4 linked regions of the Lepisosteus oculatus genome follow. The protein of the gene in region 1 interacts with the protein of each later gene in a biochemical or structural test. Links are inferred from orthologs where the notes say so. Each region holds a gene or a part of one and is shown on either strand. Other genes may lie near its edges.

Region 1 (7,430 bases):
GAGAATCACATAATTAAAAATCTAAGCATGTTACTTCATCTAAAATTATTACACAGACAATACAAGTAATGTAAAGTGAGTTCATTATCTAAAACAGATAAAAAGAGGGTGCCTAGAGAAAAAATGTATTCCAAAGTACTAAAACATACAGAATTATATGATTTTAATTAAAAACTGATACAGTACGTGACACGTCGACTAATAACACATATAACCATTTCTGAGTTATATGCGTATACAGTACATCAAATTGGGATAAAACTTAAACAGCCCCAACCTGACTGTAAAAGATGCGATAAAGCTCTGAGTCCAATCATCATCAGCTTTGAATGGCCATTGTGCAAAGACAGCATCTTCAGAATCTGCCTTTGTAAAAACACATTGTGAGAAAAATAAGAAAGACTGACATGCAACCTAAATAAAAACAGAAAGGCTTATCTTTTTGTATTTTTCAGCTGCTTCAAACAGTGTGCTAAAAGCAGACCCAATTAATGGCACAAACAAGAAAAAAATCACATCCTCTTGTTAACAAAGGCCTGTTAGCAGTTGTGGTTCTCAAAATTGCAGAGGAAGTGACTCAACATCTTATTGTAAAACTTGCAGACCTGCAACCTAGGTGTCTCCTTCCTTGTACTGTACATTAAAGAAAGAAAATTAAAAAAAGTTAAAGTTCATGTCATCCCAAACAAATTTTCCCCAAACACCCCAGTCACCTCCTTCCTTCATTAAGCATCTACTTAAGTAAACTAAACATTCAAGCTTGATTTATTTTTAATAAAACCCTGCAGGAACATAAATGCCGTGGACTGCGGTCATTTCAATTCCTTATTATCACCCAAGCCCGCAAACCTCTTCACATCTAGAAACACAAAACATAAACATGAAAGTTTACATCAGTTTATGAATTTGCAGAAGAGATAAACATGCATACTTACTGGTGTATTCCCAGTACTTCCCAGTCTTTTTCAACTTGTGGAGCTGATAACTTTTCCAAAGTAGAAGGGCAAACTTCCATTAGTCTGCAGAGCAATGACCATCCCACCTTAGGATCAAACCCATTCAGTTTTAGATCAGTACTGTTGATTTTTCATCAGAAAACAATTACTAAGACTCCAAAGCGTTCATCAGTTCTTAAAAGGCATTTCAGGCCATTTGGTATGGGATGTGTTCTCTGCCTTACTAAATAAAGTAAGAATGTATTATAACATCGAGCAGTAACACACCCTGATACCACTCATAAAATGCAATGAAAACTGCTTTTGGGTTAAATATTTAACTTAGGCTCTCTTCCTCCATTCCCAAGAACAAGAAGCCAGATGCTCAGGCATTCAAACTTAGATTCCTAAAGCTGTTCATGGACATGCTTCAAAAGCACTTGGAATTCCTGTAAGGCAAGTTTCCTATGTACAATAACCTCAGCGTCTTCCAGGTTGGCCCTATAACGTTCAATCACCCTTAATTAGTTCATAATCACAAAAATAAAAACTGTTGTATACATAATTTAAAACATTTATCAACCAAGCACTTTAACTTCCATGGGCACATTTCTTATAAATACATTTATAAGAAAAATATATAAGACATTTCTAAGACAGTATTACTAAAACTTGATACTATTAGAGTTGTTACAGTATGGAGAATTTCAATTTTAATGTCTCTGTACAGCAATCAGGATAAAACTCAACAACAACACTATTCAGAAGTATTAAGGTAAGAATTAATAAAAAGGGGACATTAAAACATTACCATTAATTAGAAAACAATAATGCATAAATAACTACTGTATATTTTATGGAAAAAGCTAACTAAACACCTTTTCCCCAGTGAACATTGCACTTTTTAAATAAACTCTTGCAATGAAAAATAGATTTTTTATTTTTCCCAAAATCGTATCATCTGGTGCTTGGTCTTAATATATTTTCTAAAACCACCACCATCGTTAAAATGGCATCAGTAAATAATACGCACTGACCTCTTGTACAGCATGACTGTCAATGTAAGAATCTAAGACCACCATTAAAGGCAGGTGAACGTCTTTATCTTCAAATAATTCTGTTGCTGAAAAAAATAGACAGTATTATCAGTAATTCCATTTTGAAGTAGATACGATGCTCAACGATAACTGATTTACAGTGATTTGCAACTATACTGTAGCTCGAGAAGACTTTATTTTTATAGCACAGAGTGTGAAGAGGCAGGAGTTAATCGTAGTTCTAAAAGTAAAATTAGTTTATTGTTCTATAATTCAAGTAGATCTGCCTAAAGTATGTTTTCTAAAGGACAACATCGATATAGTACTGTATCTACCATCTACTCACCACAGTCGCCAGCAAAAGTAAGGAAGAGTAAATCCTCAAGAATCTGAATAAGTGTATCCAGTTGCTTTCCTTCTTGGACATTTTTTAACCTCACAATTAATTTTTTAAGCTTTTCTTCTAGTTCCTCCTTATTGGCCATGTTTCACAAGTCACAATCTGTTGAATAAAAAAGAGGGCAAATATGATTACTTATGGAGCCATGTTGCCCGTAAAGTTGTTTTTCCACTGTGCTACAGTAAGTGCAACACACTGGTAAAGTGACATGCAATACAGTATGTGACAAACTTTTTCACACCGCAGTATTACATGACGTATGTAGCTAGGTTGAAAGAAAAAACATTGCAGGAAGTCCTCCTCATTCATAAACAAAACAGTTCAAGCTTTGAAGCAGATGAGTAACACAACGTATATCTTTTTATTTTTAATTAAATATAGAAGTTAAACATCGTTTCTGCTTCATTCGTTTTTAATAGCACTGCAATCACATGACTCTTCGTAGATGAAGGCTATCTGTTTTGTTTCCTCCATTGAAATATACAATACTGAACAATACAGAAGCTCTGTTCTGTGGTTCGACTTTGCAGGCTTTCTTGTTCAAAAATTAACTTTGCAAATGATGGCTTTTAACTTAAATCGCATTCAATTGCTCTACTTTTCTTTATCAGAATATTGTGAAATCTGAAACCTTTCCCCAAACATAAAGACGTAATAAAAACGAATTGCTTTACGGTAGAACGTCTGAGTAGTATTTTTGACAGGACCGCAGACGACAGTCGTACTTTCCTGTGTTATATTTTACTTATAAACAATTTAGATTAGATTAGGTAGCCTCGAAATATCACGTAGGAGTTTGCGAGACTTTCTAATGATCTAGTCAATGCGACTGAAAGTTTTACTACACAAGTGTACATTGATCCAGCCTGTATACCCATGATTTTAGAGTTATATAACTCTTCCTGTTGTATTTTCTACTTTTATTTGCAACCGAGTACATTTTGATGACATCTCACCATGGAAACTTTCCCTCTTTACTAGCGGTCACACCACCTACACAGCTTCAACTTCTTCATATTATTTCTGTAATAATACAGTTTAAGCAGTGTATCCCTTATATTTTTGTCAAATCTGTGTAGCTATTTCTGCTACTTCCACTTTCTCTATATTCAAACTAATTGCAAATGTCAAGCTAGTTCTCAATAACATTCAGGGAAACGCGAGTGTTTAAGAAGTGGTTACTAGAAAACAGGGAGCAAATAGGGCATGAATACTCAGACTGGGGTGAAGTAATTAGTCGAGTATCACGGGCATCTGTAGCAGGACCAGTGTTCTTCGTAAACTTTAGTGGAGTTTGCAGATGATGCCAAAATAGGGGGATTGGCAAAGATTGCAGAAGCGGCAAATGAAATACTGTACATAACGATTTAGTAAAAATAAAACACGACCGTGCACGTTGTGTTTAGTGTACACAAGTGCAGCGTATGGCATGCTGGTGGTAAAAATATATATATACTATAACTACAAACTATAAATAAATAAAACTATAAATACAAATATTCTAACTAAGAGGTTTAGGGAAAAGACTTAGGTGTTTATGTTTACACATCATAGGCATCTTCTAGGCAGTAAAGAGAAGAAATTAAAAAGACAAATAAAATACTAGGATATACAGTATAGTTAAAATGTAGAATTGAAGTATGTTATTGTAGCGCCCTCGCCTGCAGGTGCAGGACGGGAGTAGTGGTGGTCAGGGCAGGGACTAGGAGTGCCGCTGGCCAGTGCGGCAGACCAATGGCGGAACCGGTGTATACGGTCGCGAGATCGCCCGGATTTATGTAAATAGTTTCCTTGGTTTTGGACCCTTTTATACATGTACCCAATTATAACCCTATTCCGGTGTCACTGTACCCTAATTGATCCCAGTGTTTTGTAGTCCATCATCATGTTTTGTTGCACATCACCGCCTGCGTGCTACCGAACAAAGAACATATCTACTCTGTTAGATGCCTCATAAAGGCCAGGTCTATTCTCAAGGACCCCAGTCACCACAACCATAATCTGCTTTCTCTACTACTGAAAAAAAGAAGAAAGAGAACACAACGTTTCGGCCGTGGAGCCTTCTTCAGGTGTCACACATGGAATGGAATAAACCTATTACTTGTTCCTTTGCAGCCTACGCATGCTGACGCAGCTACCCACCTTTCTCTACTACTGTCTGGAAAACGATACCGAAGCATACAGACCAACAGATTTCAAAACAGCTTTTTCCCTCAGGCAATAAAACTGCTAAACTGCCAACCATGGCAGCCAGCAATTACCCAAACAACCACTGATAAATAGTCAGTCCACTTGAAACTGATAAGGTGTACCTGCGTTTTTTTTCTTTCCCTGACATCTCTGACCCCGCCATTAACACCAGCAGCACTGACAGCGTTATGAGCACCATCCCCCAGGCCAGGCTGACCATCACGGCTGACCAGGTGAAGAGGGAGCTGAAGAGGCTGCACCAGGGTAAAGCCACAGGACCAGATAACGTCTGTCCCAGAGTTCTGAGGGCTTGTGCTGATCAGCTGAGTGGACTGCTCCAGCGACTGTTCAACCTGAGCCTGCGCTTGGAGAGAGTCCCTGTGCTCTGGAAGACATCATGCCTGGTCCCGGTACCAAGGGAAGAGCGCCCCTCTGTCCTCAATGACTACAGACCAGTTGCACTGACTTCTCACGTAATGAAGACACTGGAGAGGCTGGTCTTATCCCACCTGAGACCCCTGGTTAGTTCACTGGACACCCTACAGTTCACCTACCAGCCCAGTGTTGGTGTGGAGGATGCAATCATCTACATGCTGCAAAGGGCCTACTCACACCTGGACAAGGCTGGCAATACTGTAAGGATCATGTTTTTCAACTTCTCCAGTGCCTTCAATACTATTCAGCCCTTACTTCTAAGGAGGAAACTGGAGGAGATGCAAGTCGGTGTGTCCATTATCTCATGGATCACTGACTATTGACAGGCAGACCACAGTCTGTGAGACTTCAGAACTGTGTGTCTGAACAGGTAGTAAGTAACACAGGGGCTCCCCAGGGGACAGTTCTTTCTCCATTCCTTTTCACCCTCTATACTTCAGACTTTAAATACAACTCAAAGTCGTGCCACCTGCAGAAGTTCTCAGATGGCTCTGCAATTGTGGAATGTATCAAGGGTGGGGAGGAGGAGGAGTACAGCGGACTGGTCAACAGCTTTGTGGAGTGGTGTGGGAAGAACCACCAGCAATTGAATGTAACAAAGATGAAGGAGCTGGTGGTAGATTTCAGGAGGAAAAGGGTCAAACCTACTCCTGCCCACATCCATGGGAGTGGCATGGAGATGGTGGACTCATACAAGTACCTGGGAGTGCACATCGACAATAGACTAGAATGGTCTAAGAACATCGAGGCCATTTACAAGAAGGGTCAGAGCCGACTTTACTTCTTGAGGAGTCTCAGGTCCTTCAATGTATGTAGTAAGATGCTACATATGTTCTATCAGTTGGTTGTGGCGAGCGCCATTTTCTACGTGGTGGTATGCTGGGGCTCTGAAATAAGAGCAGTGAATTCTAACAGGCTGAACAAGCTCATCAGGAGAGCAAGCTCTGTCATTGGGTCTGGCCTGAACCCCCTGGAGGTAGTGGGTGAGAGGAGAATGATGTCCAAACTAGAGGCCATCATGGACAACGTCTCCCATCCCCTCTATGACATGCTAGTAGAAATGAAGAGCACTTTCAGCAATAGACTGATCCATCCACAGTGCGACAGGGAGCGCTACAGGAGGTCATTCTTGCCTTCTGCCATAAGACTGTACAACGCATCCACCTTGCATCTGGGCAGTGGCAACATTGACACAGTGACCTGTTTCTGGACTGAACAGTAAACTGATACATCTGTTCTTTTTCTTTTTCCCGTTTACAACCATTTTGTGCAATATATGCCAGGGACCTGTGCAATACATTTATATTTATATTGTGCAATACGACTTTTTTGTGTACTGTTCTGTTCTGGTTTGTTCTTTGTGTGTTCTGTACTGAGGAACTCTTCTTAGTGCACTCACTGTACTGATTGTATTGTATGTATTGTATTATTATTATTATTATTATTATTATTATTATTATTATTATTATTATTATTATTATTATTATTATTATTTTATCATTCGTTACACTGTTGCTGTGTTGTCTGTGTTAAGCTGCTGTTGCGCTGCAATTTCCCTCACGGGATCAATAAAGTATCTATCTTCTATCCCTACCATATCTCCTTATGCTATTGTGTAAATCTTGTTAATTGTATAATTTATTGTATTCTACTTGTAACCTTAATTCGATCAACTTCTGTCCTATCTCTCCTTGCAAGCTTGTGGAAAAAGCATGTCATTGCTGACAACCCCCGCTGTATGCTGTATTGTTGTGTAATTGATAAATAAACCTTGATTGATTGATTTACATTGATTTTCCCTTCTTTAAGGGAGAGTGAGGGGGATTTTAATAAAAATCCAGAGTGAAAGCATAACATTTACCCCAAGTGTGTACACAGACCTGAAAAAATGCTTTATTCATGTAAGTAAACTGAAATAAGGTGAGTGACACATACAGTACTTTGAGATTAAATTAGATGTGGCATATGAGAAGTGATAAGCCCTCTAACACAATTTACATTCACCTTTTTTCTTCAGATATCATTAGGGGCATTAGAACCCACACAGTGAGTAATCACCCTCTTCTGCCCACACTAACACCTCTTCCAGTAGTATCCTTTGTTTTCCCAGAGGTCTTTTATCCAGGTGCTGACCAGGCTAATACCTGCTTAACTGCAGTGGGTTCCCAGTTGTTAGATGCAGGGTGATATGGCTGCTGGCAATACTGATATAATATATATGTATTACATCGGCATGCGAGCTTTAAAGAAACGAGGTTAAGTTACTATTACAGTAAAACGTAAAAGAGAAATATGGAAACATCATTTCGCCCTTGGAACTGAGATTTACATTTATACCGCTACATATTTTTCGTATACTCAGAAGACAGCTAATATTCAAAACGATAATAATGTATAATTTACATAAACTTTATGAAAAACATAAACTTTATA
Region 2 (7,151 bases), on another chromosome or scaffold:
CAGAATTACTGAAATGGTGGATGATATCAAAAGTATGCTGGTAGAGCGTGTTAAAATGAGCAGATGCTTTTCACTGCAATTAGATCAGTCTTTAGTCGATTTGGCCAATTTGCTTGTTTACGTTAGATACTGTACGAGTTTGAGGGTACGTCCCATGAGGACTTTCTGTTCTGTAAACCACTACCAACAGAAACTACAGGAGAGCACATATTTCAGCTTCTGAATGAATTTATCGAAGAGAATGGCATCGACTGGATAAAATGCGTCGGAGTTTGTACAGATGGTGCTAGGATGACAAGCCGACACAGCGGTGTAGTTACACAAATTAGAGAGGTTACTCCAGAAATGAATGGACGCATTGCAACATCCACTGCGAGAACTTTGCAATCAAGAAAATGCCTGACGATTTAAAATCTGTTAGACTCTGTTGCGAATTGTATCAAGGCTCGAAAAATGAATTCACATCTGCTTTACTCGACCAAACAGGCTCACCCCTCTCACTGAAATGGTGCTTTTTTATTATTTTTTAATAAAAAGCTGTGAGAAGCCACCTTTAAAGGCGCCATATCAAATAAAGTTTATTATTATAATATTTATTATATGTGTATGTGAGTGTGTGCACGCATGTGCGCTCATGTTGGTCATTGAGGATTTCTGGAGTTCCTATGAGAAGATGACTTGTAGGTGGTACTTGAATGCTTTGGTTTGATCAGGGGTGGTACTTGGTCCAAAACATTTGAGAACCACTGTTCTATATTATGTTACATAATAGTACAATCATCTTAATAACTTGCATTCTAAATCCCAATGAGAGAAGAAGCAGACTCCAGCTAGCTAGATCATCTTTTATTTTAAGAGAGAGAGCTGAATTTTGAAATAAACAGTTTTGATAAGTCTTCAGATAAATTAACTCCCAAATATTTAATGGATGTTTATAGCCAATTTAGCTTAAACCTTTCTTTTCATTGATCCAGTGGGTTATAATCACACAAAACTTCAATTTATTTATATATTCAGTTTATAGTCCAATATCAAATTTCTCCAGTAGATTCACTATCCTAGCAAAGAAATTCATTAGGATTATCCAAATACAGCCGGATATCCTCTGCATACAATGCTTGCAATCTTCTTGTCCTTTGAAAATCTTTGATTTTTGGGTCTTGCCTAATCCATTCTGCCAGAGGTTCTATGTATGAAGAAAACAGGAGGTTTAGCAGGGGACATCCTTGTCTTATACCTCTCTTTAAGCAAAATATGTCAAAAACATTTCTACTGATCTTAATTTGCCCTGTAGAATTTGAATAGATTTTAATTAAATGTCTTAATACATCAGCAAATCCAAACCTCTCTAATGTTTGATATAAAAATTCTGAACTGAATCAATCAAAGTCTTTCTCTGCATCTAGTCTAACCAAGATCGCCCATATTTTTTATCCTCTATTACTTGATAATACGGAGAGTATGTAATGTTATCTTGTCTATGTGTATTCTGAAATAATCCTGTTTGATCTAAATTTAATTGTTGGGATAAAAAATTGAAGCTTAAATCTTGTAGCCCACATTGAGTACAGAAACTGGTTGGTGAAACCCACATTTAAATCTTTTCCTTCTTTTGGTTTAACAAATATAACAGCTTTGTTCCTTCCCTTATCCAATTATAGGTGGGCAAGCCAACTGTTTTTGAATACCTTATGGAATTCACTGGAAAGCCATATGTCCCTAGTGGTTTATCAGCCTTACAATTTGAAATTAAGATTAATCATTTACTCAGTTAATTACTCTACTTAAATTTTGACCCCCATTTAAAGTAGGGAGGTTTAGTGAGTATAATAAAAAGGAAATGTCCTGTTTATTTTGGATTTCAGACTGTGCATACAGATTTTAGTAATATTCAACAAAGGTTGAATTTAGAACAGTGCAATGCAATTTGGTCACCACGTTAAAAAAAAACATATTGCTGCTCTAAAATCAACAAGATACATTTCTGGGATCACAGAACTGTCACACTGACAAGCTGACTGAACTTGAAGAATACAACAAGAATAACTGACTAAAGCAATCAAAATCCTTAAAGGGAATGCCACAATCTACACAAATAACTGATTCAGAACCAAAGAAGTGCATTTGAAACTTTCAGGATTCACAATTTCAGTAGAGGGTTGTGAGAGCGGGAACAAGCTACCCAATCAAGCTGTTAAGGGTTAAAAGCCGCAGATGCCGTTTATAGGGTTTCACCCACTAGCAATCAATTGAGCTAGATGGGAGGACTGCCCTACACTTGTTTTGTTTAATTTATATATTATTACCTAGAAACGTTTCTAACTGGAACTGTATCTTTTTAATTGTAATTCTATAAATAACTAATTTTCCAAATTTGCTTCACCAAATTTTGTTTGCCATTGATAATAATGTGTAGCAATATTTGTTTTTATGAAGTTCAGTTTCATCACACAGTATAAGTCTGACAATTCGATTTTCAAGAGAAACTTACACGTTTCTCACTAGCATAAACTGTAGCGAATCTCTAGAAACCTACAAAAGAAAATAAAGCCACCAATTAGTCTGTTAACAGACTACATTTATCGTAGACACCAAACATCTTGTACAAGTTTTGGTCAAATAAATTACAACTTTTTTAGCACTAGCTCTACCATAATTATATTTAAAATCCATATACCAGATGTAACAAATCGATATAAAATGACGAACTATTGAATGAACTTTTAATAATATTAGGAGTGGATGTACAAAATGCGTATTCTAATATTACGAGGTCAAGATGCTGCTCAAGCAGGGCCTGAAAAGTGTCAGACAGGTTAAGAAAATCAGTATCAGTATTTTTTATTTGACAAAAACCACGCGTATACGAATACAGGATAAACTTCAGATTAGTGATAACAAGAATATATTTAAAAAACATTTTACATACCATTGACTTGACCAGGTTACAATCCTCAGCGGCACCAAACCGCTTCAATTCACCCTCTCGCTCTCTAGCTAACTTGCTGGAAGTCCCGCCCTTGTAAGTATGCATTATAATTCGTTCACGGTGCTGTCAATCTTCTTCTAATGCTTTGTTTTCTCTGTTTGTTGTGGCTCAAGGCTTCTCCGTGGCAACCGTCTCCGCCCTGTGTAAAACAGAAAGGGGGTGGGGCGAGCCCCTTGCAGAAATTCACTTGCAGAGGAAAACAAATGCAAAATTATCAAAACAAGTTACTCTAAAATATGAGGTCTCAAATTGCACCAGTTAATTATTACAAGCTTGGAACCTACACTGCGTTATATACTCGATGACTAAAATATTCATTAAGCCGTCTCTTTAAATTTCAAGTTTATATGGACGGGAGATGCAAAAGTAACCTGATACTGGTGATACTGCTCACGCTATGGTTACAATAGACAGTTATATCTGTTTTAAAATAATAGTTTTTAATTTTAGATTTTAAGATTTTATTCACACACATTTTCTGCTTGGTCTTCTGTGAAACCACAAATACATCAGCAGCTGAAAGTACTTTTAATCTGTCTAAGTGAACAAATCTAGATTATTGACTTTTCAGTTTTACTAATCAAATGAACTTTACATCCCTTTTATGACAGGGAGACACTATTTCAGAATGATTCCCAGTCACCAATATTTGGTCTGTTAATAATACAGGTCTCCCATGCTTTGCATTGACCCCCCACGAACTGTCCAAATTGTTCTTCTATCCTTAGCAATAGTACTAATAGTAGCTGAAGAATTTTCGTTTTATATATCTTTAGAGAATATTTTATTTTCTTGTAAATAAAGCCAGGAAAGCTACTGAATACCAGGGTTTAGGTACAAAGGTTCTGAGCCACATTATATAGTAATCTAGGATATTCCATAGTTTGGTCAAGCATGATGATACAAACAATATGGAAATCATGAACAAACAAAGATGATGAATGGTGTATGTGTAACAGGTTAATTACAAACTGTGGCTTGTTACAGCACTGCTCAAGGGCTGATCAGCATAAACATATTTAATCCAAAACATCACAAAGTTGTGGCATTTGCACTTGAATCTCAGATGGAAATTGCTGTGACTGAAATAAATCTGACACCCTTATCTTCAAAACTTAAACAAAAATCAAACTCATTTGCCAAAAACGGGTCTCTGCTGCAGGATATTTAACACTCCTAGAGACTAGAGAGTTACATCCTCACAAGAGTCTCAGCAGTCATCATACACTACAAACCCTGTAGTTCCTGTAGAACTGGGCATTTGCTATAAATAATCCCTTCATGAAGGCTTTGTCATATTGAGAAGGCATCTGGGGTTCTGTGCTATTTTGTCATGTCATTGATCTCCTGGGGCTTCACATCCTCTGGATTTCTGTACTATTGAAAGATTCCTGTTGGATTATCTGTTATTAATACATTGTACAAAGGATGTGAAGGTTCTTATGCCAGTAAACAAGTCACGTTATTGCAGTCCCAAGGATAACGTTTAATTATTTTTGTTAATTTGAATGTGAGGGTTATTATTAATTGTTGGAAGTGAAGCACGTGTATATTCCAAATGTAAAACTTTTGAATGCTGCATATTATATCATTTAATTTAAAATGGGCAATGCAAATTAGTTACTCCATTTCATAGCTCTTTTTTGCTTTCAAGATAAATATATTTTTCTAATTTGCATGTAATCAAATAGTGCTACTGTACATTATATTTTGTGTATAAGATTTAAAAACCCAACAATTTTGTAACCACTTTATCCAATAAAGGGTCACAGGGGAGCCAGAGGCTATCCCATCAAGCAATGGGCACTAGGAAGGATACAACCTGGACAATATGCCAGTCTATGGTAGGGCACCCACAGACAGAGAAACAAACACACCAGGGCCAATTTTCCCAGAAACCAATTAATCTACAAGTCTCACTTTGGACTGTGGGAGGAAACCAGAACACCTGTAGGAAACCCACTTAAACATGTGGAAAACATAAAAACTCCACAACAGAGAACACCCCAGATGTAGAATTGAACCCAGATCCCCAGTGCTACAAGGCAGCAATACTAACCACTGCACCACTTTGCTAGTATTACTAAACATAAACATACAGTATTTGAATACCTTCTTAACAGAGCCTTAACTGCAGTGTACTGTATGATATTTTATAATTATAACAAATAATGGTAAGGTGGGTGTCATTTTGTGATTAATGTGTCAGCATGATTAGGATTAAAACCAAAGAAACTCCAGAAGATAATGTACTGTAACCTTGATTTCTTTTTGTACACAACGGAATAAAAACATATACACAGGTACAAGATATCAAAACACTTCTTTTGATGTGATAATTAGCCCACTTTCCCAAAACATCACCCAAAGCCCTTCTATCCTCACTAACTTTTACAGATGCACTACAGAAAGCACACTGACAGGTTGCATCACAGTGTGGTATGGCAACTGCAGTATTGCTGACCACAAAGCTCTACAGCGGGTGGTGAAAACTGCCCAGTCCATCACTGGGGCTGCCCTCCCATCTATACAGGACATTTATGACAGACAGTGCTTGAGGAAAGCTCTAAGCATCATCAAAGACCCCACACACCCCAACTACAGACTGTATGACCCTCTACCATCTGGAAAATGGTACCAGAGCATTCAGACCCAGACTACCAGACTCAGAGACAGTTTTTACCCCTACGCTTTAAAACTATTAAACTCCCAGCCTCTCTATGATCTGAACCTCACAGTGCCTTCTTTCTTACCAAAAACTCAAACACACATTGAAATCTACCTCCATGTTACATGTCAAAAAGCTCACTCCCCATAATTTTCTATCCTTTTATTTCATTCTATTGATGCATGTTTTTGCATATCTGATGTTGTTTTGCACATTACCTGTTACCTTTTGTTGTTTTGCACATTGCCTGTTGTTGTTTTTGCACACTGCCTGTTGTCTCTGTCTTTCTTGTATTATACAATTGTATTGTTATTTTTTTGTACTACGTATTGTCTGAGAGCTAGCTAAATAGCATTTTGTTATACCATATACCTGTATATGAGTACGATGACAATAAACTTGAACTTGAACTATGTAGGTTATTATATCAACACTTTCATCATACAATTGCAAAGCAATATTAGTAAGAAATTCTATGTTTTGTTGGTGGGCATAGTGGCACAGTTGTTAACATTGCTGCCTTACAATGCTGGAGCCCTGGTTTTAATTCGGACCTGGAGTAATATCTGCATGGTGTTTGTATGATCTCCATGTACAGTATGTTCATGGATACCTTCATTACTAATGATTTAACGTGGTCCCAGGATGTAACTGGAGCTACAAGACAGGCACAATAGTGCCTTTACTTTCTCAGACAAAAATTAGCTCTATCTTTAACTGTCCTTACTACATTACAGGTGCACTTGAAAGTGTGCTCACATGTGGCATTACAGTGTGGTTTGGCAGCAGCTCGTTGTCTGACCAAAAGGCGTTTTTAGAGGACAATCAGGTCAGCCCAGTCCATTATTGGAATACAGCTTCTCTCTATTGTGGACATTTTTACAATGCGCTGTCTCAGGAAGGCTGGAAGTATTACTAAGAACAACAATCATCTTGGTTTATCACTTTTCTCCCACCTTCCCTCTGGTAAGCGTTATAGGAGCATAAAGGCACGAACCTCCAGATTCAAAGACAGATGTTTTCCGCAAGCTGTCAGATTACTGAATTCTACCCTCACTACTGACTAAATCCATCTACATTATCACACCCACATTATTACTCACACTGATGTGTTTTTTTCTCTTCTCACACTGCTTGTCTGACTTGCTTTTTTAAAGTTGTATGTTATTTAGCTACTTGTTGCTGCTGCTGTTCTGTGTTTATGTTTTGGTGTTTGTATCAGATATTTCATTGCAGTTGTGTATATGACAAATAAACTGAACTGAGATGGATTGTATTTTAAGACATCTCAGAATATCAAGCATATCATTTTCTAAACTGTATTCTATAAAGTACTCTTGAGTAAATATTTTGAGTATTAGATGTTTATCAGAGGTTATGGGTCTAAGATTGAATAAAAGCATAAGGAACCTTGTCAGATGCATATAATTAAAATAAATTATTTGCATTTGTATTGCACTAATCATGTCAAAGGATCCAAGAATGCTTTACACA
Region 3 (6,943 bases), on another chromosome or scaffold:
TCCCAAGTGGATCAAAGCTCCCGCTCTTTCCCCGTCGGGCCTGGGGCTCGGGATCGAGTGGCAGGGCCTGCAGCTGACAGGGGCGGGCGAGGGGCCCTCTCACCTTCCTGCGGCCGCGGCCGGCCCTCCTCTTCATCGCTTCGTAGAACATGAACTGCACCGCGGGGTTGAAGACCAGGAGGAGGGAGGGCAGCGTGCCGTTCCACAGGGCCCCCAGCCCCTCCCGGGCTGCGATCTGGGAGAAGGCATCTAGAGAGACAGGGGGGGGGCTGTGTTACGCAGTGCCTGCAGGACAGGAGTTGACTCATGTGGTCTCATGTCAGGCCCAGCTTTAAAAGCCAAGGCAACACGCGGCGTGGTCTGACAGGGTGGCTCACCGAAAATGCCCTTATAGTGAGTCTGCTGAAGCTCCTCGTTCCTGAACCTGGCTCCCTGCAGCTTCAGCCTGGTGTTGACGACCCACATGGGGGTAGTCAGGAGGACATTGACGGCCCCTGAAAGACACCGTGAGCTCAGCCGGGCTGGGAGTTCAGCCTGCAGAAACCAACGCCTCACACGTTGGCTTCAGTACAACCTCTTCTCGGCTCACGCGAGTTCTGTCTAGACTGTGGGCGGCGCCCTCTCACCCGAGATGAAGCCCATGAGCAGGTCTCTGCCCGGCCGGGACCGGCCCCTCTCCAGCGCCCACAGGGCCTTCAGGGTGTTGAAGGTGTAGAAATACACGAAGTTGGAGCAGCAGAGGCTGGAGATCACGGGAAACCAGCCGCGATACAGAGCCGGGCTGCAGGAAGAAGAGGGAAAGCCCGCTCCCAGGCGTCACACATCCGCGGCGGCTCAGGCCCCCCCGAGCCGCGACAAAGCGGCCCCCGACCAACTACCCTCTCCGCCATGGCCGACCTGCGCTGCTGTGGGCAAACGCAGTCCCTGGCCAGAGCGCAGCAGCTGCTCACTAGCGCCTCCTCCCCCTGGGGGAGGCAGGGGACCATGCGCCCTGCGGCAGGTCCGGCTCGTCACGAGACCCCCCCCCAGCCGCCCCGGACGCCGACCCCGGCTGTACTTACACCCCCTCCTCCTTCGCGATCTCGGCCAGGATGACGGGAGTGGACCTGGACTTCCGGTGCTCGTCCACTGAAAGTGACCAGCCACACAAAACCGTCACCGCGGCGGCCGGAACTTGACCATCAGTGTGCAGTCCCTCAGAGCTCAGAGCAGAGCCTCAGCGCTGGGGGACTCTTCGAATAAAGACCGACACAGTGCCCATTCTTTCACCCTCCCGAAGTCAAATTGTTTTTAATAAAAAATCACCCTCAGTTAACATCAGAGCCGCCTTTTAACCCTTTCAGAACAATAACGAGAACAAAGCAAAATAAACACTGCCCTCAAACAGAACAGACATGGCCCCAGTGGGCGCTGTGCCCAGTTAGACCCAGGTTCATGAGGTCAGGAGGTCATGTGATCACGGGGCACCTGCAGCACAGTGCAGCTGTCCCGCGGCGGGTCTGGGTCTTGTGCTGGTCAAGAGTTTGGTCTGAACCGAAAGCGTTGCTGGTACCCCTGCCCGTCTCACCTTGCAGCCGGATCCTGGCCGTGTCCAGCGGGAAGAACACGCTCATGGCCGTCGCGCTGCCCTGCGGAGGCACGGAGCGGCGGGGGGTTAGCGCCGACACGGAACAGCCCGCACTTTCAACCCGCCCCTCGACGGGGCTTTTTCCGCTCGGGGGCGGAAAGAAGAAAGAAAAAAAGGTCCTGAACGATCAGACCTTGGCACGGTTACTTTTTGCAATGAGACGCTTGTCATCTGCGTTGACGTATTTAGCAATGCGGTAGTTTGTATTTTGTGTTACCGTGAAGCACGCTGGCCGGGGCTCTGTCTCGGTCCGCAGACCGGATACAGAACCCGCAGCTAGGCGCCGGTCAGATAAAAACTCGCACTAAAACATGACTTTCCGAGACTTCTGGCACCAGCGCGATGGCGTTGAAGTGAAAAGTACATAAAGACGCGTTGAGACCCTGAAATCCGAGCTCAGCTCGTCCAGTTTGCCCCGAGTCTCCTACCACAGCCCCAGCGACGGCGTGTACGAGGGTCTCATAAGACAGCAGGCCGACGGCGGCCACCGGGGGCTCCGACATTTCCTCCTGCTGAGGCGGGGGCGACATCTCGGCGCGGTCCTGGCCAGGGCGCATGTATAACACCACCGGCTCCAACTCCTCTCCGCTCCCGGGCTGACTGCGGCAAACGGCCCTCCCTCCTCGCTTCCTCCTGCGTGCAGAGGAGGAGCTACGCCGGAGATGGCTCTCTGTGTCCTGTAGGGCGGGGAGGAGGGGGGAGGGATCCCCGACATACAGGTGTTTCGGGTCCGACTTGCGGGAGTCCAGGAGAAACTGAGCAGGAGGCAGCGGGTTTGCGCGAGTTCCGTTCAGTTTAGTTGTCACCTGCCCCAGCGCAGTGAAATGCTTATTTGCACTTAGGCTCCGATACAAAGGCAGTAAAAGAAATCAACAGAAACAGAAACACAGAACAGCTGCAGCAACAACAACAACAAGAAGTTAAAAAAAAAACATGCAACTTAAAAAAAAAAGTCAGACAAGTAGTGTAGGTTGGGAACATCAGGGTGAGCCATTAGGCGAGGTATTGGGGTGCTGTTAAGGGGTTTTCTTGGGGTCTTTTGAGGGTGCGGGTCTGTCTGGGTTTCTGCGGGCAGCCTCGAGTCACGTGGGTTTTAGCGAGCGCCCCCCAGAGGAGAGTCCCGGTACTGATTCGGGCCCGGGCTGTCCCGCAGGCAGGCGAGGGAGCCCAGACAGGGCCGGCTTTTCCACAAGTAAGGGCTGAAGAATTCACACCTCACTAGCCACGACTGGCTCGGCGGAAGAAAAAAACAAGAGGAGCCGAATTCGCGGCGAATATTTTAATTAGAATCAGCTCCGTCAAATCTCTTTATGTTTAATATCCCCTGCTCTTTTTTTTTGCGTTTGTCAAAAGAAAATTTTAAATATTTCGTTTTGGGAGTTTTTTTTAAAGAAACTTTGGTTTACCCTAGATCATTTCACTTCCACTGTCTTCCATACTAATGGAGATACTAGTACTGTCTAAAGGGGTTGGTTGGTGCTGAATTCATGTTGCACGAATTATATTTTGTTGTGGGTAACTTTATTACTTATGTCTATTGCACCATTGTGTAGTTTGCTTTTATATTGCTGTAGGGCGACTCGTTGATTGCGAAATAAAAGTATTTCGTGAATAGCAATGTTTTCCGTTGTGTTAAAGCCAGGCTCTTAACGGTGTAATCCTACAATGATCTCGGCTAGCCGACAGTGTAACAATGGCGGCACTGTAGGCTCATCTGTAGGAGTGGTACAATAATAACAAGAGAATTAACTGACCTACCGAAAAGAGCTCCTCCTTTGACCTCACGTCTTTAATGAGCACATTGAGCAGACAGAACAAACTGTTCCCACAACCCGGAGGAATTAAGACCCCCTGGTTCCAGATCTGCGTGCGTGTCGGAGCGGAGGCGCATCATCTTAATTACAGCAGCTACTTATTTCAGGGCGAGCCTGTTCAACTCAACTATTAATATATTTAAAATAGAATTTTAAAACCCATACAGCAATTTTGTTGTTATGAAAGATATGACTGTGTGCATAGTTGAATCATGGGTTATTAAGACGTACGGTATTAAGTAATATGTATATATTTCTAACATAGTTCAGGTGGGTAGCTGTGTCACCATGCGTAGGCTGGAAAGGAACAAGTAATAGGTTTATTCCTATTCAGGTGTGGAATTTGTTTTCGGCACGGACTAAACCTATTATTTCTAACATATACATGTTAGAAAACAAGCCTTATTAAGTCATATGTAGTTACAGCCTTAACTAGAACATTATTAAATTATTTTTTTAGTTTTTCTCGTTCAAAAAGTGACTTTAGTCAAAGAAACAAAATAGATATCTTATTTTATTGTAATGTCTCCTTGGATATAACACAGATCAAGTCACTCCATGTCTCGATATGTGATACAATTATATTTTGATTTTTGTCGAAGAGGAGGGAGAGGGTGAATTTCATTCTCCTTCTTGTAACACACCGCAAAGAGCGGATCGATGAAGTCCTCGCCGTACAAACTGGCGTCTCCCCATTTGCGCCACCTTCAATGCACACCGAGCCAGGAGAGATGGACTTTGCCTGCGATTTATGGCCCAGCAGGTGGAGGTGGCGACTCGGCCTTTATCTTCAGCCCTTGGTGTTGAAGAGACTCTTGTTTTCCAGGCTGGCGGGGGCGATCATGCGAGGCGTCCTGCGGTAGAGGCGCTGGTCTGTGTCCCGAGGTCTCGCCATCAAGCTGAGAAAGAGAGAGGAGCGGCACCGGTCATCATGTCTACGAGGTACCATAAAGCGGCCATCGATGGCTATCTGGACCTGCTGAAAGAGGGTACCAGGAAGGATCTGAACACCCCGGATGAGGACGGCATGACCCCGACCCTCTGGGCGGCTTTCCACGGACATCTCGAGGCGCTGCAGCTGATCTGCAGCAGGGGGTGAGTAAGGCGAGGAGCCGGCATCCGTTTCGTCGAGCGGCCGGTGAGGCGACTCACCGGGGCGAAACCCCAGAGAAAACCTGACCGTAGAGGACAGACAGGATTAAAAAGTACACTTCTGTAGACCACGAATGGCAAAACCTACCCTTATTTTTTTAAACTAATATTTTGTGTGCAAAATGCTTGAAAGTCCCATTTCCATGTATGAATACAACGTAGTTTTAACTTTTTTTTCCCTTTTGCGTAGTGTCAAAAAGCTTTTAGTTTTCTCAAAAACAAAAAAAAATCCATCAAGAGATTTTTTTAATTAAAAATATTCACGATGTGAATTCTGTTCTCCAGCAAATAGAGATCACATAAATGGTATTTTTCCTCCTACTTATGCTTCAATAATATGTCAAATGTACTTATATTCACCCCCTCCTTACTTTTTAATGTTCTCTAAAATATTCCGTATGTATTCGGACGTTGATTTTGTCGCACAGCGTCTTAACGATGTACAGGATATTATTACGGGATACTTTACAATATTATATCGGCCGGTTTCCCCTTCATCGATCTCTTCCGCCTGTGATCTCTTTGATCTGTTTGACTTCAATCTAACGGTATCTCAGCAGGTGCTGAAAGAGTTTTTCGATCAGAAAGCGGATGGCGCGAGTGACTTAACGTTAATTTAAACGCCTTGAACATCGTGTAGCTGGTGCTTTCATTTTCCGTTCGCCAAACGACCCGACAAGAATGATGCCGGAGTTATACTGCGATCAGCGACCATCAAACCAGCCTCCCCCAAGTGCTGTAAACAAGCGCTTCCCATTTTAATGAAAAAAAAGGGAATACACTCAGAAACAAAAGCCTACAAACAGAAGGCAGAACAAAAACAGAACGGAGTTGCTCACGTCGGCTTCCTCAAAGGTGGGTGGGGTGGGTGGTATTGCACATACCTGCAAAGTCTCTTCATGGGATGAGACCTTTATACCCTGCAAGAAGACACTTCCTCAGTGCTCTAACACAGACATAACGTCACCACAGAGAGTTCTAGACACTTAGCTAGCAAGGTCAGCTGAGCTCTTTGTTTTTGCATTGCACGGTTTTTCTTTTTGTTCACCAGTTCCTCCAGTTTTCAACTCCACTCAGTTCAGTCTCCAAACACCCGGAACTTCCAACAGCAGGTCAAGCAATCCGGACCCCAAGACAAGAGCTGGGCTCTTCCTTCCTCGCGCTTTCTCCCAGGGAATCCACTGATCTCTGGGAAGGTGGCGATGGTACAGCCGCACGCGGCTCTCGTGAGGCCCAGACCAGTGAACGCGTGGGGGAACTGATCTGGGGACCGTGCAGCCGGTGTCACTTGTACTTGTGGGTTTGTCAAAGCTTGAGAAACGCGAAAGGACACCACGGGCAGGTATCAAAGGTTGCTGTGAGATTATCACCTGCTGTATATAACAGCTTTCAGCAGTTATCAGTGCAGCTTTTTAATCACACGGGCAAAGTGATCAAACATCGTTTTTTTCTGAAACAACAGAATATCATTTCAACAAACATACTTTTCTCCTGGGATTTTGTTGCAGGACCACATCAGCCTGTTGAAGCCTTGACATATTTTACAATGGCTTTTTTTTTTGCTGCGTTTGTATCGTGAAATATCGTTTAAAAACTCTCGCCCCAGTTTGCGTCACTTGCAAAGCTTTTTGGGAGCTGAAGCTTTTTAGGAGCTGAATGATGCCAGAGATCTAATCAAGCAAAACAGAATAATGCTCAAACAACACAAAGGGCTCTTTCAGTTCAGAGAGGTTTGAGACTTTACTCTGCAGCTTTTCAATCGCATGTGTTCACACTGTAGCAGGAGAGAGCCAGAGAGAATTTTAGTCATTATAACAGAAAAGATCTTACATTGTTTAAAAAGTATTTTAGTGAACATTAATGTAATGAGGGTGAAAGAACAATAAATGATGTGTAACAGCTAATTACTTTATTTTATGTTTTTATTCTTCTCTTTAAAATTGGAAAAAGTTGTCAGTTTGTTGATGTGTCTTTCCAAAACATAGTTAACAAGAATCATCACTATCATCACCATCATCATCATCATCAATTTCAATGAAGGCCAGTTCAGGGTCACGCTGGCCCAGAGCCTATCCCAGGAAGCACTGGTCGCAAATCAGGATACGCCCTGGATGGGACACCTGTCCATGGCAGGACTCACACAGACATTTGTGTAGTTGCTAAGCGACTATCACCTAGCGGGCATTTTACAAGCCAGTAGATAATATACATGAGGACTTTATTCTTAATACCTCACCAGTTAAGTATTCGGCGGTTGTCACATGCAAACATACTGTAACAACCCTGATCTCCTTACCGTGATAAAAGCTGTTTCCATTGGAAAATCAGTAGGATAATCAATTGCTTTCGG
Region 4 (7,340 bases), on another chromosome or scaffold:
TGCAATATAACTTGTAATACACAGCCTCATTTTAACTATTCTGCCAATACAATATCATGAATGTGGAAAAAGAGGCATGAAACAGAAAATACATCTCAGTCTAACAGCATTCCTAAGACAAAATAGAATACCATTAAAAATGTATTTTATGTGAAGCAAAAGCAATTTAGATGAACATTAATGGTTTATGCATCCATCTGATTTGTAAATCAGCACAATTTCTTTAGCTAAAATACGATCTCATATTTTATTGTACTGTATATACTACATTGGAAGTAGATACATGCCTGAGATGGAAATGGCACAGACAATTTTATTATATCTTTCAAGTTCAGTGATCATATTTCTCATTGTTTTCATTCATGCCCTGGAATTCCAAATATTTCTCAGAACATTATGAAAAAAACTGCCCAAGAATAAACAACACCCTTGGTGACCTCTGCTGCTTTTGTAGAAACACCACGTTGAATTATGATATTCATTTAGCACCAAGCAATTGATATAATTCATAATGACAGCACACTATGGTTTTAAGAAAATGTTTTGATTCAATATTACTTGAAGGTCTTAGAGATGCAGTTTTTAGAAATATTAACTATGATTAGCATTCAAACATATCAACAGTTTTAAGATACTAGGGTTTTGTGCCTACATTCTAAAATGTGTGCCTTATTTATAAATACAAAAACACATGAGTCTCAGAAGCCTTGCGAAATTGCTTTAAGCACTTTCCAAATTATTATTATAACTCTGGTTTCCCCCCCTCTGACTCTTGTATGCAACCCTTACTGAAGATATAGGCTGCCTGGACGTGTCAGTGGACTTGGGACCAGCTCATGATCCAAGTGATATCAGTCTAAATAATAGGCTCCCATGAGGGGTAAAGATGTTCATTTTCTAAAAGCACTGGTTGATGTGTGAAAAAGTACAGAAGACCATAGAAACTGATGTTACGAATATATTATTGATTAAATTGATAGTTTCTTAGAAATGCGTCTCACTCAAAAAGAATACCGTAGTGTCAAGAAGGTCCTAACACTGGGTAAATAATGGAATTGCTTGAAATATTGCTTTATTTTGCTGTTTAGATGTTTAGAATACAATGATCTGTAATCTGTTAGTGCTTGTTCACTCAGGATAAGCTGAGCTTGTTAAATAAATAATTTAATTATATGTTTTTGACGATACCAGGAGACTACAGACAACATTTTCCTATTATTATTTTTTCTATGTCATGCCCACATACATAATACCAGATTTGTTAATAATCACTTAATGATTTTAAATAGAGTAGATACAGTATATAAATACATAACATGGGACTATTATGAAGAATAAGATATGTAAGTGAGATTTCTATCAAATTGCTAACACACAACTAGCCCCAGCTAAAACCATTTTATACTTCATCTAGTGCAATTGACATATAGTATACAGTCAATACAATGTGCAAATCAAAGTTAGTAACACATCCAGAGCAGAGCACTACACAAATTACAGTAATCTGTCTGGAAGCTAGTGTGAGTTCTCTGGGAGATTTAATGCAGTGGAAATGCAAGACAAGGTACAAATGCATCTCACATTTGGAGTGCAAGACTTGAGCTGTCTGGGATATATACAATTAGACCATTTTAGACATAGAATTTTGGACATATTAATATTTCTGCATATCACTGCTCCTAAACACTACTTTAGTTATTTGTATAAAGAAATGGTTCTATAAAATAATAATGCAGCAGAAGAATGAATGATAAAGACAATTGGTGTATGATACTTGTTCTATAAATCCATATAAACAGCTCATATAAATATTTAAGGACTAATATTTTAATACAAATTGAATTCAACATTCTTAATTTCTCACACATTGGCAAGTCCAAAAGGTGCTATCGAAAACGTTTGTTCGCATTACAACTTCAATTCAATTAAGTTCATTTGATTGCTGAAGTTTCAAATAACGAGTCAAAGCTGTTCTGAACTTACCCGTTTTAATAATTTCTTTGCATTCTGGATCGACAGGAGCAGCGTTTGGTTTTGAAAGTGCGTTGGAAATTACTTCGGCAATGCAACGAGTGACCTAAAATTAAATACAAATATATTCGTTATTTAATATATTCCTGTTTTAGCAGCAGGAGTACAAGTCCTGTTTTTTTAAGAATTCCTTAGATTATGAAGTTTAAGAGGAATGAAAACATACCAAATCCTCCTTCTTTCTTTCTTTCTCGATAGGCACAGATGAGATATCTGTCAAGCACAAATTAAAAAACATGTTTAAAATTAACCTATACATTTATGATAGCCCTAAAAGTGGTTATACCACTATCACTGACACTGCTTCTGCTACTGCTTCTGTAACTACCGCGGCTACTGTAAGGAAAGAGATTGTGCTATTGTAATACGTTTTGTAAGGTTTAACCTACATTTTGTAAACTATATATTATCCTGTTCTTATACAATCCATCTTCAGCATGCAGTAGCAAAAGTGCCATAAATGTAAAAATGTAAAAAGGTACAAGCTTAATATGGAATCGTGATAAGCAAAACAAACACACATTTATATATATATATAAATTAAATAACACAATTCTTTTGGTGTACAAAAGGTATTTCAACTTTGAATCTCATCTACGCGAGCTGCACCATATCTCTAAAATAACCCTTGAACATGTCTGCTGTCCACGGTGCTGAAAGCACGATACTCCTTTTCAATACGCATGAAGTCGAAAGGAAGTTTTAATACGAATGGAACTATAAGTCTGCTTTCCTACCTCCGAGGAAAGAAACCGCAAGAAAAACAAGAATCATAAGCTTCATTATGATAAAGTGCTGCAACTCTTATTTTTCGCAGGATATTATTGTTGTTGTTTTCCCCGATGTTATCAGTGCTAAGCGAGTAAATAAGTCAGACGCGACACTAGTCAACTGCGTCGTCTTCCACCGAAGGCTTTACATCGAGGGTCTCCTGCTCACTACAGCAGGCAGGCTCCTTCTGCTTTGATATAAACAGGGGGGAGGCACATGAAACAAGCTACTGCTTGAAAAGGCGTGGGAGGCTTCTCTTTTACTCGTGACCTGCGTCATTAACCCCCCCCCCCCCCCCTCACCCCCAGGAAAGTGCTCTTCCATATTCAAATCTTCACCAAGAATACGCATAAATAATATTCTATCGTTGAACTTCATGCGTTGTATCGAAATATTAAACCCGTTTCCATTATTTTCTTTTTTTCGGTTGAGTTGTAAATTACAGCTTTTTATATTTTTTAAAAGTAAAATAAATTAATTAGTAATTTATTTGGTGTATAGAATACAAAAAGAGAGATCATACTTATATAATAATGTTAGGTTTTGTGGCAAATAGACTTGAAACGAAACGCCAAATGTTACGTTAAAAACGTAAGGAAATGTTGAATTGAGAAAAAACGTAGTTACTTCGAATACTTATCAATCACAGATTTATTAATAGCACTAAGGCTTTTTTAATATTTCCTCAAATGTATTTATTTAGATCGCAGTGAAACACTATCAGCATGCAGAAAAGGAGTGAGGCAGCAGAAGTTTTCTATTTCGGAATTTTGAATTTTGTACAAGGAGAATCTGGAGTTTGATATGCTGGCATATACCGTGAATTTTAGTAGAATGTCATGTTTCTAAATACTTATTATACACAGTACCCCACTGAACTAGAGATAAATATGATCTATTTGTAGGAGTGACCTATTGTGTCCAAAGTAATGGGAATAGTTCAACAAATGGTGAGTCCCCAAATGCCTGAGAACTGTAAAGAACCTGCAGACTGAGTCTTTCCATAATTATGCTGTGCTATGGGAAATTAGAATGATATAAGCAACTGCACAAGAGATACAGTATGGCTGTTGGTGCAAGTGTCTCGGTCAGCTGCATCACTGAATACCTGGCTAATGTATCAATTTAGCAGTCTCCAAGGTTTACAGGCAAATAAATACACCACCAATAGGAAGTGGAATTCCAGAATACCAGAATTCCACTACCTACTGTATGCCTCAAACAGAGCTGTGTCAACTGCTGTGGCTTGAATGGTTTCATAGTTTCACAGACATTTGTGAACACGCAGCAAAACATCTTTTTATACTGGCTGCTCGACTGATCCACTATTAGCAGAAATTTCTAATGTCATCAAACCTGCAAACTGGAAACATACAGTATATAAATATGAGTGTATGAGTTGCTGCACATTTAGTCTTGACAAAGGTCATGAAGATACTTTATAGAAGTCATTTTTGCTAAAATAGTGCATGGACATGGAATTTAAGAACCAATGATAAAACCTAAAAACCATGAATAACATGCATGGAATAAAATGGTGGTGATATAAATTTATCCATAATTAAAACAAGGCCTTGTATTTAAAATGAAACAATGTGAAAATTGAACAATGTGGTGAAGATTATTTTTGCTTTCTTATATCAATATTTATGGAAATCCGATACTATATTTCATAAAAAGAGAAAAAAGATTCCATAATTATGCCTCCTTTCTGTTGTGAAAGGTGTTTGATTGATTTCTGCAGATTAAGATTAAGATTTTCATTCTAATCTAGAACTATATATAATAACTATATATATTAATAACTGCTACATTTATAGCTGCATATGCAAAACATTTGATTTTTGGAATTAATGTGACTATATTTCTATAAGGTTTCAAATAACAAACTCTGATTTGTACACATTAACGCTATATTCTGTGATTTATTGTTAAGTAGGATTGTTAATTAATTTTTCATTATCCAGCTGTGAGCCTAATTGTTTGGAATTTAAAATGTCATTAACATTGTATGTAGAGTGGTTTAGTGTAGAAATAACATCAATATTTTGCACCCTGTTCCTGCTTTTTGTTGTATGTAATCAGCTTCTGACAATATTCAAATCAGTTTCTTTGAGGTGTTGCATTTCTTTCCCATGTGAAGTCAAAGATGAATAAACCTAGATCACAATTACAATTTTTGAAGATGTAACAGAAGCAGTAAATTGCAGTGTCTTTATTATTTTAAAACTGCAAATAGGACTATCATTGTGTTCCATCAGGTAGATAATTAAGACAGGATAGCTTTACTGAACATTTATAAATATTTGATTGCCATGAAATACCATTACAATGCATATTACGGTATATATGTATAGGGATTGCAACTAACACCATAAATTATTTTTAATCCCACATTTACAAAGGTATAAAATGTCCTAAATTCAGGCACCGACTGGCACAGGCATCGGTGATCAGTAGTATTTACAGGATTGAGGGTCAATCTGTAAATACAACAGAAATATATTAAAAGAAGATTAATACAAAATAAAATTGGGCTTACTGAAAAAAGAAATACATACAACATGCATTGCAAATACATACACGTACGGTGTGTGGGGAAAAACTATGCATGTAGAATGATGTCTTGAATGATTAATGCTCAATTTAGACTTTTGATTTACTTATTTTAATTATTAACCTGTTCTGTCTCGGTGTTCATAGCAGCATTGGGCCAGACTGAAATAAGACATTTTTTGGGGTGCCTGCAAAACTCATATTTCCGTTTTCAGTTTTCAATAATTCAACTATGCTGTAACAGATTAGAAAAATCCATTTCATGAAGGATTCTGAACAATCAGTAAGCTCAAGTGGTAAATTAAAAGACTCATAACTTCAAGATTCAATATTTTGTTGGAATTTAGCAGCACATATTATTTCATGGTAGATTTCCACTGCATTGCAATTCACACTAGAAGACAAAGAGTTATAGTAACACTTAGAAGCCCCTCAGCAGTATTTCTGACTGCAGTATTCAAAACAATATAAATAATATATAACAGAAGGGAAAGCAGTAGATTTAATTTGATTTTATATGCTAAGTATTACAGAAAAACTTTTAAACAACATCATTATACACATATATAGATTTTGAAGATGAATAATTGTGAATGTTCTCAAGCTAAATTTGTTTTAATTTTAAATTTTTTAATAATTCTAATTTTAAAAAAAGATTTCAGCAAAATGGTTCTGCCCCACTATATTAGAAATAAAGTTTTTTTTGACCATATGCTATTCATATATTTATCTATGAATTGGCTTCTTTACTCTGCTCTCCTCCCCTCTGATAGCTGACGTGTGTTGAGCGTTCTGGTGCGCTATGGCTGCTGTCGCATCATCCAGGTGGATGCTGCACATTGGTGGTGGTGGAGGGGATCCCCATTACCTGTAAAGCGCTTTGAGTGGAGTGTCCAGAAAAGCGTTATATAAGTGTAAGCAATTATTAGTTATTATTATTATTTAGTGGCATAATTAACCATATACTTCACAGGCATATAAAACAGCTATAATTGTACCTTTTCTCTGATAAACTGATTAAATCTTGTAGATCACTCATTCATATTGATGCGTCATTATGCCAGATAAACATGTGTTAAACATGATATTGATTTATTTTTATTAATACTGTCATGAACTATGTCAAGAATTCACACACAGATATGAACTACACTGTATACTCAGGGCACTTCAAAACTTATCATGTGAAAAAATCTTATCATTCAGGTATCTGAAGATATTAAAAAGTAATAACTGTAGCAGGAAGAGACACCAAATAAGATGTCCATATATACCTGTGAATACAGGAGCTGTTAGGAGGAATAAAGAAACTAACTTTCTACACAGCTAATGTTCCTAAGTAATCAATATAATGATATCCCTTTCACTGTGAGTAAATTGAATGGGCAGACATTAAAAAAAACAATTGCAAATTATACCAAAAATTTCACTTTGTGGTACTGGTGCTTTCAGAAAGTACACTGTGCTAAACAAGACAACACAAAGAGATGTGCTGGATTTGTGGAATTGAAAGCCTCCAGGGTTTTTAGTTTCATGACAAATTGAAGACACAGTCACAGCAGTTGTCTGTCTAGAAAAGGTCAGACTTGACAGGATAAATAAACCTGCTTTTAAATTATCCCACAATCAAACAGATTGCATGAGATTGAAACCAGTACTCCTTTATATATCATAGTCTTGCTATGCTCTTTACTTTAATAATGTAGAGAAATTATAAGGAAATTGATGTTTAATAAATATTCTTAATCCTGTATGTATTGCAATTAAATGCTACAAATTATTATTACATTTATAACTTATTATCTCCACAAACATAATCTTTAGACTGGAGTTTCCAGATCCCAATCCTGGTCGCTCACAGGTGGCTGATGGCTCAGTATCTTCTGATTTTTTTGTTCTACTCTTAAATGTTAGAGGTTTCTTGCTGTTTGTAATTTAAAATCTCCAGCATTTGAGAAGCAAACAACTTGCACAGGTTCCAA

The links.
Region 2: the proteins of lrrk2 (region 1) and nek1 interact on a protein array, tested with the Homo sapiens proteins (2 studies listed by BioGRID and IntAct, with this or other methods). The link is inferred for Lepisosteus oculatus from reciprocal best matches to the Homo sapiens genes LRRK2 and NEK1.
Region 3: the proteins of lrrk2 (region 1) and anks4b interact on a protein array, tested with the Homo sapiens proteins (2 studies listed by BioGRID and IntAct, with this or other methods). The link is inferred for Lepisosteus oculatus from reciprocal best matches to the Homo sapiens genes LRRK2 and ANKS4B.
Region 4: the proteins of lrrk2 (region 1) and chgb interact on a protein array, tested with the Homo sapiens proteins (3 studies listed by BioGRID and IntAct, with this or other methods). The link is inferred for Lepisosteus oculatus from reciprocal best matches to the Homo sapiens genes LRRK2 and CHGB.

The regions. Positions count from the first base shown.
Region 1 is NC_090702.1:37,348,507-37,355,936, reverse strand, and holds the start of lrrk2 (leucine-rich repeat serine/threonine-protein kinase 2), read right to left. Parts: upstream 3,004-7,430; 5' UTR 2,458-3,003; coding exon 2,319-2,457; intron 2,059-2,318; coding exon 1,973-2,058; intron 1,043-1,972; coding exon 936-1,042; intron 367-935; coding exon 278-366; intron 1-277. UniProt on the Homo sapiens protein: Serine/threonine-protein kinase which phosphorylates a broad range of proteins involved in multiple processes such as neuronal plasticity, innate immunity, autophagy, and vesicle trafficking.
Region 2 is NC_090696.1:51,779,718-51,786,868, reverse strand, and holds the start of nek1 (serine/threonine-protein kinase Nek1), read right to left. Parts: upstream 3,012-7,151; 5' UTR 2,930-3,011; intron 1-2,929. UniProt on the Homo sapiens protein: Phosphorylates serines and threonines, but also appears to possess tyrosine kinase activity. Involved in DNA damage checkpoint control and for proper DNA damage repair.
Region 3 is NC_090714.1:16,472,425-16,479,367, forward strand, and holds the start of anks4b (ankyrin repeat and SAM domain-containing protein 4B), read left to right. Parts: upstream 1-3,932; 5' UTR 3,933-4,192; coding exon 4,193-4,536; intron 4,537-6,943. Other genes in the region: slc25a17l (peroxisomal membrane protein PMP34), read right to left, coding at 104-249, 378-494, 627-781, 1,062-1,128, 1,568-1,628, 2,056-2,184. UniProt on the Homo sapiens protein: As part of the intermicrovillar adhesion complex/IMAC plays a role in epithelial brush border differentiation, controlling microvilli organization and length. Plays a role in assembly of the complex.
Region 4 is NC_090697.1:40,572,809-40,580,148, reverse strand, and holds the start of chgb (secretogranin-1), read right to left. Parts: upstream 3,012-7,340; 5' UTR 2,815-3,011; coding exon 2,769-2,814; intron 2,245-2,768; coding exon 2,198-2,244; intron 2,078-2,197; coding exon 1,984-2,077; intron 1-1,983. UniProt on the Homo sapiens protein: Secretogranin-1 is a neuroendocrine secretory granule protein, which may be the precursor for other biologically active peptides.